Linked DNA regions of Mus musculus. The protein of the gene in region 1 purifies or fractionates together with the protein of each later gene. This does not show direct contact. Links are inferred from orthologs where the notes say so. Each region holds a gene or a part of one and is shown on either strand. Other genes may lie near its edges.

The links. The genes of interacting proteins can lie anywhere in the genome.
Region 2: the proteins of Snrnp200 (region 1) and Sf3a2 purify together in Homo sapiens (affinity purification with mass spectrometry; 4 studies listed by BioGRID and IntAct, with this or other methods). This does not show direct contact. The link is inferred for Mus musculus from reciprocal best matches to the Homo sapiens genes SNRNP200 and SF3A2.
Region 3: the proteins of Snrnp200 (region 1) and U2af2 fractionate together in Homo sapiens (co-fractionation; 3 studies listed by BioGRID, with this or other methods). This does not show direct contact. The link is inferred for Mus musculus from reciprocal best matches to the Homo sapiens genes SNRNP200 and U2AF2.

What each region holds. Positions count from the first base shown.
Region 1 is NC_000068.7:127,232,386-127,235,885, forward strand, and holds part of Snrnp200 (U5 small nuclear ribonucleoprotein 200 kDa helicase), read left to right. Parts: intron 1-20; coding exon 21-248; intron 249-515; coding exon 516-707; intron 708-794; coding exon 795-973; intron 974-1,114; coding exon 1,115-1,266; intron 1,267-2,578; coding exon 2,579-2,687; intron 2,688-3,500. UniProt on the Homo sapiens protein: Catalyzes the ATP-dependent unwinding of U4/U6 RNA duplices, an essential step in the assembly of a catalytically active spliceosome. Plays a role in pre-mRNA splicing as a core component of precatalytic, catalytic and postcatalytic spliceosomal complexes.
Region 2 is NC_000076.6:80,801,735-80,805,422, reverse strand, and holds the end of Sf3a2 (splicing factor 3A subunit 2), read right to left. Parts: intron 3,026-3,688; coding exon 2,979-3,025; intron 2,632-2,978; coding exon 2,522-2,631; intron 1,964-2,521; coding exon 1,914-1,963; intron 1,841-1,913; coding exon 1,700-1,840; intron 1,604-1,699; coding exon 1,535-1,603; intron 1,452-1,534; coding exon 609-1,451; 3' UTR 501-608; downstream 1-500. Other genes in the region: Amh (muellerian-inhibiting factor precursor), read right to left, coding at 1-175. UniProt on the Homo sapiens protein: Component of the 17S U2 SnRNP complex of the spliceosome, a large ribonucleoprotein complex that removes introns from transcribed pre-mRNAs.
Region 3 is NC_000073.6:5,072,143-5,075,642, forward strand, and holds part of U2af2 (splicing factor U2AF 65 kDa subunit), read left to right. Parts: intron 1-2,438; coding exon 2,439-2,518; intron 2,519-2,592; coding exon 2,593-2,715; intron 2,716-2,998; coding exon 2,999-3,085; coding exon of another isoform or gene 3,086-3,097; intron 3,098-3,325; coding exon 3,326-3,500. UniProt on the Homo sapiens protein: Plays a role in pre-mRNA splicing and 3'-end processing. By recruiting PRPF19 and the PRP19C/Prp19 complex/NTC/Nineteen complex to the RNA polymerase II C-terminal domain (CTD), and thereby pre-mRNA, may couple transcription to splicing.

The DNA.
Region 1 (3,500 bases):
CTCCCTCCCCTGCCTGTCAGGTATACATGGACTGGTATGAGAAGTTTCAGGACAGGCTCAACAAGAAGGTAGTGCTGCTGACGGGGGAGACCAGCACAGATCTGAAGCTCCTGGGCAAAGGCAACATCATCATCAGTACCCCTGAGAAGTGGGACATCCTCTCTCGGAGGTGGAAGCAGCGCAAGAACGTCCAGAACATTAACCTCTTTGTGGTGGATGAGGTCCACCTTATTGGGGGCGAGAATGGGGTATGCTTGGCTTTGTAGCACAGAGAAGGACTGGGCCGCACCCAGTTTGTGTTGGGCCTGAAACTAGGGACTAGGGTCTTCACAAAGATTTCAGCCTATTGCCTTATTTCAAAAGAGTGATCTGAGTTTATATATTATGTTGCTTAGTGAAGGTGTCTCTTTGAGGCAGGGGAACTATAATTGGGACTGCCAGAGGTGGTTCACTAAGGGAAGCTCAGGTAGAGGGTGGGAGCCTGGGCCTGAAGTGACTCTTTCTCTTCTTCCCAGCCTGTCTTGGAAGTGATCTGCTCCCGGATGCGCTACATCTCCTCCCAGATTGAGCGGCCCATTCGCATTGTGGCACTTAGCTCCTCACTCTCCAATGCCAAGGATGTGGCTCACTGGCTGGGCTGCAGTGCCACCTCCACCTTCAACTTCCATCCTAATGTGCGCCCTGTACCTTTGGAACTGCACATCCAGGTAGGACAGCCTTCATTCCTCCATGGCCTCAGGGATCCCTAGGTACCCAGGTCTAGTAACCTCAGTGTCTTTTTCCTTTGTCTCCAGGGCTTCAACATCAGTCACACACAGACTCGCCTGCTCTCTATGGCCAAGCCTGTGTACCATGCTATCACCAAACACTCACCCAAGAAGCCTGTCATCGTTTTTGTCCCATCTCGTAAGCAGACCCGCCTCACTGCAATAGACATCCTCACTACCTGTGCAGCAGACATCCAGCGGCAGAGGTAGGGTGTGCTCTAGTTTCTGGGATGAGTGGGTGCTTGAAGATCATGTTAAGTGAAGTCCTGGGTAAGGGCAGGGACTAAGTCTGGGGTCTCCCACAGACTGCAATGCCTCTGACTTGTGCTTGTTCTTGTTCTGCCCAGGTTCCTGCACTGCACCGAGAAGGACCTGATCCCTTACCTGGAGAAGCTCAGTGACAGCACACTCAAAGAGACCCTGTTAAATGGGGTGGGCTACCTGCATGAAGGCCTGAGCCCCATGGAGAGGCGCCTGGTAGAGCAGCTCTTCAGCTCCGGTAAGAAAACCTCATCACCCAAAGCTCTCATGGCTGTGGCTGTCAAACGAGGATGTGGGTGTCCTCTCTTTCTTTCTAAAGATTTATTTATTTATTTTATGTAAGCACACTGTAGCTGTCTTCAGACGCCCCAGAAGAGGGCATCAGATCTCATTATGGATGGTTGTGAGCCACCATGTGGTTGCTGGGATTTGAACTCGAGACCTTCGGAAGAGCAGTCAGCACTCTTAACCACTGAGCCATCTCGCCAGCCCCCTTTTTTTTTTAAACAATTTTTTATTAGAATTTTCTTCATTTACAATTCATGCTATCCCAAAACTCCCTTATACCCTCTCCCCACCCTGCTCCCCTACCCACCCAATCCCGCTTCCTGGCCCTGGTATTCCCCTGTACTGGGTCATATAATCTTTGCAATACCAAGGATCTCTCCTCCCAATGATGGCCGACTAGGCCATCTTCTGCTACATATGCAGCTAGAGACACGAGCTCAGGGGATACTGGTTAGTTCATATTGTTGTCCCACCTATAGGGTTACAGACCCCTTTAGCTCCTGTGGATGTCATTTCAATAAGGAATAGAACTTATTAATGCCAGCAGACTAATGTATGTCTTAATTCATTAGATTCCTCTAAAATACTTTTGTTGTCATTGGAACAGATATTTCTCCCAGCTAGATTAGAAAACAGGCACAAAAGCTGGTCTCATTTCAGAACATGGTTTTGTGGAGTTGGGCCGTTGGCCAGTAGACCTAAGTTCTGTGTAGATACCAGACTGGAGGGGTTAGAACTTAAGAGATGGCTGTGGATTTGTGATTCTCTCCTGGCTGGTTGCCTCTTGCCTGCTACCTTTGTTGACCTGTGGCATTTTATGTGTTTTTCACTATTCTGGCACTTGTGGCAGAGCCTTGGTGTAGCCAACTCTGCCAGAGTCACTGTTACTCTGACTCTGAATCAACCTGGTTTGGATTTGTTCAGGGTAAGTTTGACTTTGCTGCCATGGCCTGAACCAGCCACATTTGGTTTGGTGTTAGCTTTCATCATCAGAGGGCCAATCCACCATGCAGTGAAGGTTTTGCTTTCCCTGGATTTTGAGTTTTCTTGAATTGCTTTGTTTCTTCTAGGATAGTCTCAGAGCAAAAGGCACCAATAGTGCGGTGCTACCTTTCACAGTACTTCATTATGGTCAGACCTTGTTCCTACACAGCCTCAGTCTGATATTTGAAATGTAGCACAAGGTTGGCCACTGCCTGCCAATGAAGCAGATACTTTGTGGGAACCCTGCCCTCAATCTTCCTCTCCCTTACGCTGCTCAGGGGCTATCCAGGTGGTGGTAGCTTCTCGGAGTCTCTGCTGGGGCATGAATGTTGCTGCTCATCTAGTGATCATCATGGATACTCAGTACTACAATGGCAAGATCCATGCGTGAGTATAGTTGCTGTGGGCATTAACAGATCTCCCTCCTAAAGTGGATGTAAATGTGCAAGTGCAGGTATAGAAAACTAAACATGGGCCAGAGCTCCAGATCCCGGGACCTGCTCTTACATCTCTCTCAGCAGTTTGGAGAGATAAGACCTTATATATAAATGGGAAGAAAGGAGGTTGTTGCTAACCCACTCCCATATTAGGAAAAGTGGGTTGGTCAAGTTCTCATCTTCGTCATGACAAGAAGTATAAGATCAGGCCGGGCAGTAGTGATGCATGTCTTTAATATCAGCACTTGGGAGGCAGAGGCAGGTGGATTTCTGAGTTTAAGGCCAGCCTGGTCTACAGAGTGAGTTCCAGGACAGCCAGGGCTACACAGAGAAACCCTGTCTCGAAAAAACAAACAAACAAACAAACAAACAAACAAAAAACCCAAAGTATAATAAGCTCAGTGTTTCTCAGAACCTGAGTAATTTAACTTTATTGTTTTCTCCAAAATGTAGATTATTTTGAAATTAATTTTGTGAGTTTAAAATGTCTGATCTGGTTTTTGCTTTAGATTTTAGATTACTTTTTAACCTGAGAAACACACAGACCTTAAGTTTGACTTCAAGTTTGACCCTTTAATAGATGTTATTTTGCTTCTGGCCCTTAGATGGGTTTGTGGCTTTGGTTCAAGTTCCTTGAGTAATACATTCCTGACTCTTTCACTCTGAAACTAAAATAATGTGTGGGTAAGCAAGTGAAATGAATTGCTAAGCACACAGGTTTCTGTCCAGTTTTGCTGTAGTTTGACCTTATCTCCCTGCCTTT
Region 2 (3,688 bases), on another chromosome or scaffold:
CTCTCACTGTCACCAGGCACAAAGGTTCAGGGGGGCTGCTGGGGGGCCAGAGCTCATCTTCAAGGAAGATGAGGCCCCTGGTATTGGTGGCCAGGTTTTCAACCGCCTCAGGCTGTAACACAGCCCCCATAGTCGCTAGCAGCAGTACCAGTGGAGAGAGGTGTGGCCCCTGCATGGTGGTACAGCAAGGTCCGGGTGGCCCTGCTTATATGTATGGCTGAGCCAGATTGCTTGCTTGGGAGGGACGCCCCTATCAACACCAAAGGTGACCTTGGGGGACAGTGCCTGGCACTTTTCATGCCCAGCAGGTGGGAGGCGACTGTCTCAAAGGGCTTTCTGTCCTCAGAGCTGGGCCCATAACTGCAGAGGCCTGAGCTGTCCTTGAGTAGCTCCCATCTCCCTGGGGAGCCCACCTGGAGGACGCCCCAGGTCACCACAGCTTCAACAGAGACAAGCAGTATCCACCCTCCCCACTACCAAACACACAGCAGACAGGGAGACACGGGGGAGGCTGTTTAATAGGCTCAAGGCAGGACAAATAGAAAACCTTCCAAGGACTGGCAATGGGAAAAGACCACACAGACAACAGAGGCTGGTGGGGGGACTGCTCAGTTGCCTGGGGGAGGGGGAGGCATGTTCCCAGGGCCATCTGAGGGGAGTGGGGGCCTCAGCATGGGGGGCATAGGAGCAGGGTGCACCCCAGGATTTGAGGGGTGAACCCCTGGAGGCTGAGGGTGGACCCCCGGGGCAGCAGGGTGGACTCCAGGAGGCGGCTGAGGGTGAACCCCTGGTGCCTGAGGGTGGATCCCAGGGGCTGGGGGGTGTACCCCAGGGGCTTGAGGGTGTACTGCAGGAGCAGGTGGGTGTACCCCTGGAGCCTGAGGATGAACTCCAGCTGATGGAGGAGGGTGTACCCCTGGAGCTGGTGGGTGCACCCCTGGAGCTGGTGGGTGCACCCCTGGAGCTGGTGGGTGCACCCCTGGAGTTGGGGGGTGTACCCCTGGAGCTGGTGGGTGGACACCTGGAGCTGGTGGGTGCACTCCTGGGGCTGGTGGGTGCACTCCAGGGGTGGGTGGGTGCACTCCAGGGGCTGGGGGATGGACCCCAGATGTTGGTGGATGGACCACTGGTGCTGGGGGGTGTACCCCAGGAGCTGGGGGATGGACTCCAGATGTTGGTGGGTGTACTACTGGGGCCGGGGGGTGCACCCCAGGAGCTGGTGGGGGCATCTGGGGAGGTCCAGGGGGCCCAGAGGGAGCAGGCCCAGTGGGGGGCATAGGAGGGAGAGGCAGGCCACCAGGTGGAGGTGGGGGCAAGGCATCAGGGAGTGGTGGGCGAGGAGGCAGTCCATTCATGAGTGGGGGCGGGGGCCGCTTGACGCCTGGGGGTCCTGCTGGGAGGCTGGGAGGTGCTGGGGGCTTCTCCATCTTAAAGTGGAACTGAAGAAAAAACTGTAGGAGAGAGGGTCAGTGACTGGGGCAGGGCCACTGAGGAGCGCTGAGAGAGTACCCACGCAAGGCCTGTGGAACCTCACCTGCTTGGTTTCTCTGTTCCAGTGGGTCCAAAACTTGCCCTCAGCCTTGTCAATCTCCCGGCTTGGCACCTAGGGAGAAAGTCAGAGGCTGCAGCACCCCAAGGAGGGGCTAGGATACACAGACAGCTGAATTTAGCTGCTCTCTCTGTCCTGTAGGGTCGCTACCTTGAAAGCAATGGTCTCATAGGGCTCAGCAGCCATGAGCAGGTACTGCCAGCGGCGGTCTGGAGGCTCGATCCTCTGCTCATAAGCAGACATGAAACGGTGGCGTGGCATGATACCCTCTGCGATCTCAGGGTAGTCAATCTGTAAAACATGCACAGCACTATTGGCATCACCACCCGTGTGTCTGGTCCACCCCTGACTGGTCCCACCTCACCTGGAACAGCAGGCTCTGCTGGCCCATCTCTGTGTCCCTCTGCTTGGTCACTGCAACAGAAGGGATGGGGCTGTTATGTGCTGTGTGTGCACAACAGAACAGGGTTCCTCAACACAAGGCCTGGCTTCTCTGCCTAAGGCCACTGGCTAGGACCTAAAGTGAGGGAGGGCAACCCAACCCAGCACTCTATGCAGGGGCAGCTGTTGAAGTCCAAGAAGAGTATGAGGAGGGAGGTGCTGTGTCACAGCCTCCCCAGGACGGACCCTGCCTGCCAAAGGGGACTCTTGGCAACTTGGGTCCCTGGGCTCCTGCTGGCCATGTGATTGGTCTTCTGGCTAGGCCACGTCACCCAGGGGCCTCTGCAGAGGGGCTCCAGGGGCAGTGACTGCAACAGCCAGCCTCCCCCTCCTGCTTCTGGAGATTGCCAGTAGGGATGGTACTTATCAGCACCTGGGGGCTCTTGGCAACACTAAGGGAAAGATGCTTTGAGGACAGAGAAGTCGGCTGTGTGTCCTAGGGACAAGGGTATGTCCGGTGCCAGGGCCAGGGCTCATTCATGCCGTAGCCCCCAGCCATAGGGAGGCCATCACACACACACACACACACACCTTTGTACCCAGGGCGGCCAATCTTCACAAACTTCTTCACCTCCACCTTGACCTTCTCCGGTGCAGGCTGGGCGGGGGCTTCTTTGGCCTCCTTGGCAGCTCGCCGGGCCCTGCAAACAGACACAAGTGCTTGGGCCCTCCACCAGCCACCAAGGCCAAGCACCAGGAGCCAGAGGCCCTGCCCTCAAGAGTTGAGGGAGAGGATTAGGCGGCTCTGCCCTGGGGTACACCAAGCAGGGCAGAACAGGTGAGAATCCTGGCACCACCAATGTCCTTGCCCCTTGGCCATCTGCTCTGTACTGAGACAGTAAGGCTAAACATGGGCTGGGGATGGGGGGAGGGGGTCAAGAATGTAGACGCAGGTAGCCTCTCCCCTCCCCTCCCCATTCATCCAGCCAGATTTCCCTACTGAGTAACAGTGTTGTGGTCCCGGGGAACCAGGGCTGTAGGGACTCACAAGTTAGTCTGATGTTTCTTCCCTTGGGTATGGGCCAGGTAGCTCCCCTGCAAAGAGAAAGGAGACATGCTGCTGAAGGTAGGGAGGGCAGGACGGGCACCTGGCAGAGCAACTGTACCGGCTTAGCTGAGGCCTGGGGCTCAGCCAAGCATGGGAGCCTACAGGGCATCACAGTGGCTGTGGCTGCACTTGGGAGACCTGTGACTAGCCTCTGCACCCATCCCTCCCCAGAAATTCCTCTGCAGTTTAGAGCAGCATTCACTGCAAAAGTCTGTAGTGCTGAGTCCACCAGTGGGAATAGGCAGCTGTCCGGAGGAGCTTCCAACAGAGGCCTGGAACCTAGAACACTGCTCATCACCACCCCACTGTCAACCCGGCCAGACCTGTTCCATCCATGCCTGATCAGTCTGGTCCTCCAGCAAGAGGGGTGGGAAAGGAGGGGTGGGAACTCCCAGTGTCCTTGCCCCTCCAGAAAAAGGGACAATAGCCACACCCCCTCCCTTTAGCCCCAAAATGCAGAAGTGACTCTGCTGATGGCTGGTATCCATTACTATTTGTAAGGTCATTCCCAGAGCACACAGTCAAAGCAAAAGGATAAAGGATAGCTGGTGTCCAGCCAACCTGTGCGGTTATGTTAGAGGACAGCCTGGGACACAGGCAGGAGCATCAGGAGTACACGGGGCCAGCCAGCCCTCCACAGTGAGACCCTG
Region 3 (3,500 bases), on another chromosome or scaffold:
CTCAGCCTTTTTACTAGTAGTTTGAGGCAGGCTTTCTCTGTGTTTCCCAGGGAGGCCTTGAACTTTGGATCTTCCTGCAGAGTTGGATTATAAGCTTGTACCAGCAGGCCTAGCTGTAGTTTTTTGACACATGGTATAACTGTATCTTAGACTGGCCTCTTAACTTGATTTTCTGCCCCCAGTATTGAGATCACAAGCATGTGCCACATCACATGTCGTGGATGGAATTGTCACTTTACAGAGGAGGAAAGCCAGGAGTGGTGAATAATAATAATTGTTCGTGATCACGAAATTCATAGGTTTTCTGGGCTGCACAGGTTGGCCTAGGAGTCCTAGCTCAGCTTTTCTCTGTACTCTTTCATGTTAAACTTTCTACTGAGAACATGTAGATAACAGGCATAGTTGCTTTGGGCCATGCTGTTAAGTGACGGGCCTCTTTCACAGGGAGTCTCTACATTGCTTCCATTAAACAATAGAAGGAAGATCAGTCCTGTGTTGTGTCTCTTTGGGATGTGCCTGTCTGAAGACCTGGCCCTCCAGGTCTGCCTGTGCTTCTGCACAAAATTACCACTTTGGAGGAGGCAGCAACAAGTGGAATTCTGTCTTGTTTTTTCAACTTCCACTTCCAGAGGAGAAAAACAAAGGTCACTAAATAAACTAGAGAGGAAAAGCATTTGATGAAATCCAATAAGTATTGATGATAGAGTTAAAAGATTTGTAAATTGGAAGGCTGATGTTCTTCCTGGGGAGAGAATGGACTGATAACTTACACTGACATCACCTGTAGTGGACGCTGCGCTTCATTTCTGTGGAAGTGAAGTTGTTGTTCTTAGTCACCAGTGTTAGCACCTTGTATCCCTGGATTAAGTGTAGCAGAATGCTTCTGTATGCGCCCTGTTTGTAGTGTGTTGGTCTCCCTTTTTCTCTAGCTGTAGACAGCAAAGAATTGAAGTTAGGACAACTGGCTTGGGTCCTACCTTGTTCTCCCTCTGAGAGAGAAGTGATAAGTCACAGTGATTACCAGATTGGGCTTGTGGTCCAGCTGCTGCCTTGCTGCTTACTTGTCAGAGACTGGTGCAGAGTCAAGCCTGCTGAGCTGCTTTAGAAAAGCTCTGTTGAAGTCACCCTTTTCCTACTCTTAGAACTTTACTTCTTTTGCTTTAAGCTAGGGCTTTTGTACCTAAGGTATGAGTCTTTTGCCTCCATATAAGTATATACTGTTTGGATGCCTGGTGTCTAAGGACATCAGACGAGAGTGACGAATTCCCTGGAACTGGAGTTAGGAGTGGTTATGAGTCCTCCTGTGGGTGCTGGGGAACTGAACCTGGGCCCCCTGGAAGAGCAGCAAGCACTGTTAACTGCTGAGCCAGCTCTTCAGCCCCAGATAGATTTTTAAAGTGGTTGTCCTCTGGCTTATGGCAGTACTGGATATGGCCTGGCTGTTAATGCTTCTGCTTGTCATAGTTGCACTGTAACTTAGGTCTGTTGCACAGTCTAGATAACTTGACTACTGGGGTGCACTTCTAATAGTTAGAAATAGCTGAATTGATGCTTGCAGTTCTTTGGGGCTAAAGAGTTATAGTGGGGCAGAGCCAGCCTAGAAGATGGGTGGGGCACAGTGACTCAGGTTCTGGGTGTGTCGAGTCATTATCTTGATGCTTTTGTACATTAGGATGGACCACTGCATTTAGCATGGGGGAGAGCTGAAAAGGGTAGCCATACAGAGTAGCCAGACTGATGCAGGGCTGAAAAGGGTAGCCATACAGAGTAGCCAGACTGATGCAGGGGCCTGATACTGACTCTAAGAATTAAATGCTAATATTGGTGAAGCTTGTGGGGTGTGCTAAGAAACATCTGGCCGTCACTTCTATGTGAGTTGAGTAGAGAAGTGGTGCAGACTCCCTCAGGTGATAGCACCATGTAGTTATATTAGAGCTTTAATGGATCCTGAACACAGCTTCGAAGAGTTGACCATTAGTCATCACTACAGTGGCAGTCAACACTGAGGCATGTTCTGAGACTCTGAGCAGCCTCTCAGCTCCTTGTCACATTACCTCAGAATGCAGGTCACCCCTGCAGGGGCTTATGGATACAGGGCAAAGGACTGAACAACCGAATGGGATGAGATGTTGGTGGGTGGTTGTCAGTTCTTCGGGAATGTTTCATGTTCAGTTGTTGGCTGGCCTATGCTTGTATACTTGTCAGAATAAGGGGATTTAGTGTGGCCTCCTCCCACCTTTACATGGTATCTTAAGTAGATAGGACCTGTGAATCCATGGTAGATTTTTTTTTTTTTTTTTTTGAGAGACTGATTCTTCTGCCTTAGCCTCCCCAAGTGCTGAAAAGACAAGTGTGTGTCACCAGTCACAGCTTTCTTCCTGGATGTTGGGAAATTACTTTGTATTGGAATTGAAGTCTTTATACATTTTTGTCTTTAGGAGTTGTATCCACTGTAGTCCCAGATTCTGCCCACAAGCTGTTCATCGGGGGTTTGCCCAATTACCTAAATGATGACCAGGTAAATCCTCTGCTCTTTTGCTAGCTACCTTTGTCAGCCTGACCAAACCCTGATGAATTTTTGGCCCTTTGTAGGTAAAAGAGCTGCTGACATCCTTTGGGCCTCTCAAGGCCTTCAACTTGGTTAAGGATAGTGCCACAGGGCTCTCCAAGGGCTATGCCTTCTGTGAGTACGTGGACATCAACGTCACAGATCAGGTGAGTCTGAGTAGCTGCTCATTCCATCTGCCCTTAACCCTACTCTTATTTCTAACCTTAGGTATCCTCTCCTCAGGCTGTGGGGTGGGGTGGGGTGGGGTGGGGCAGGGTGTTTAGTCTTAAGCAAAGCCTTGTGGGGACTCATTCCTTTTCCCTTGGTTTTGCCTCTTTCCAATCTTAAAAGCCCTTTGCCTTTCATTCTTTCCCCACCAATGCCTGGTCCTTTGGTTCCTGACCTGTTGCTTTTCCTGCACCCTTTCCACCCTTTGTCCTCTGACCATAGGCCATTGCGGGGCTGAATGGGATGCAGCTAGGGGACAAGAAGCTGCTTGTCCAGAGGGCGAGTGTGGGAGCCAAGAATGCCACGCTGGTGAGCCTCCCGGCACGTCATCTTCCATTGGCTAGAGGGACCCTGGGGGTGGGAAGGGTTGGATGGGTAGGTTTTCTTGAGTTCTGCCCCAGTTTTCATGGGAGGGGATTTGGGCACTGGGTTCATAAGTGCTTAAGTAGAGGAATGGTCCCACTAGTTGGGTGTAAGAGGCACAGGCTTGAATGGAGGGAGGCTAGTCTGAGCCATTTTGTGACAGATCTGTTCTCCCTGACCCCACAGAGCACCATCAATCAGACACCTGTGACCCTTCAAGTGCCCGGCCTGATGAGCTCTCAGGTGCAGATGGGCGGTCACCCAACTGAGGTCCTGTGCCTCATGAACATGGTGCTGCCTGAGGAGCTGCTGGACGATGAGGAGTATGAGGAGATTGTAGAGGACGTACGAGACGAGTGCA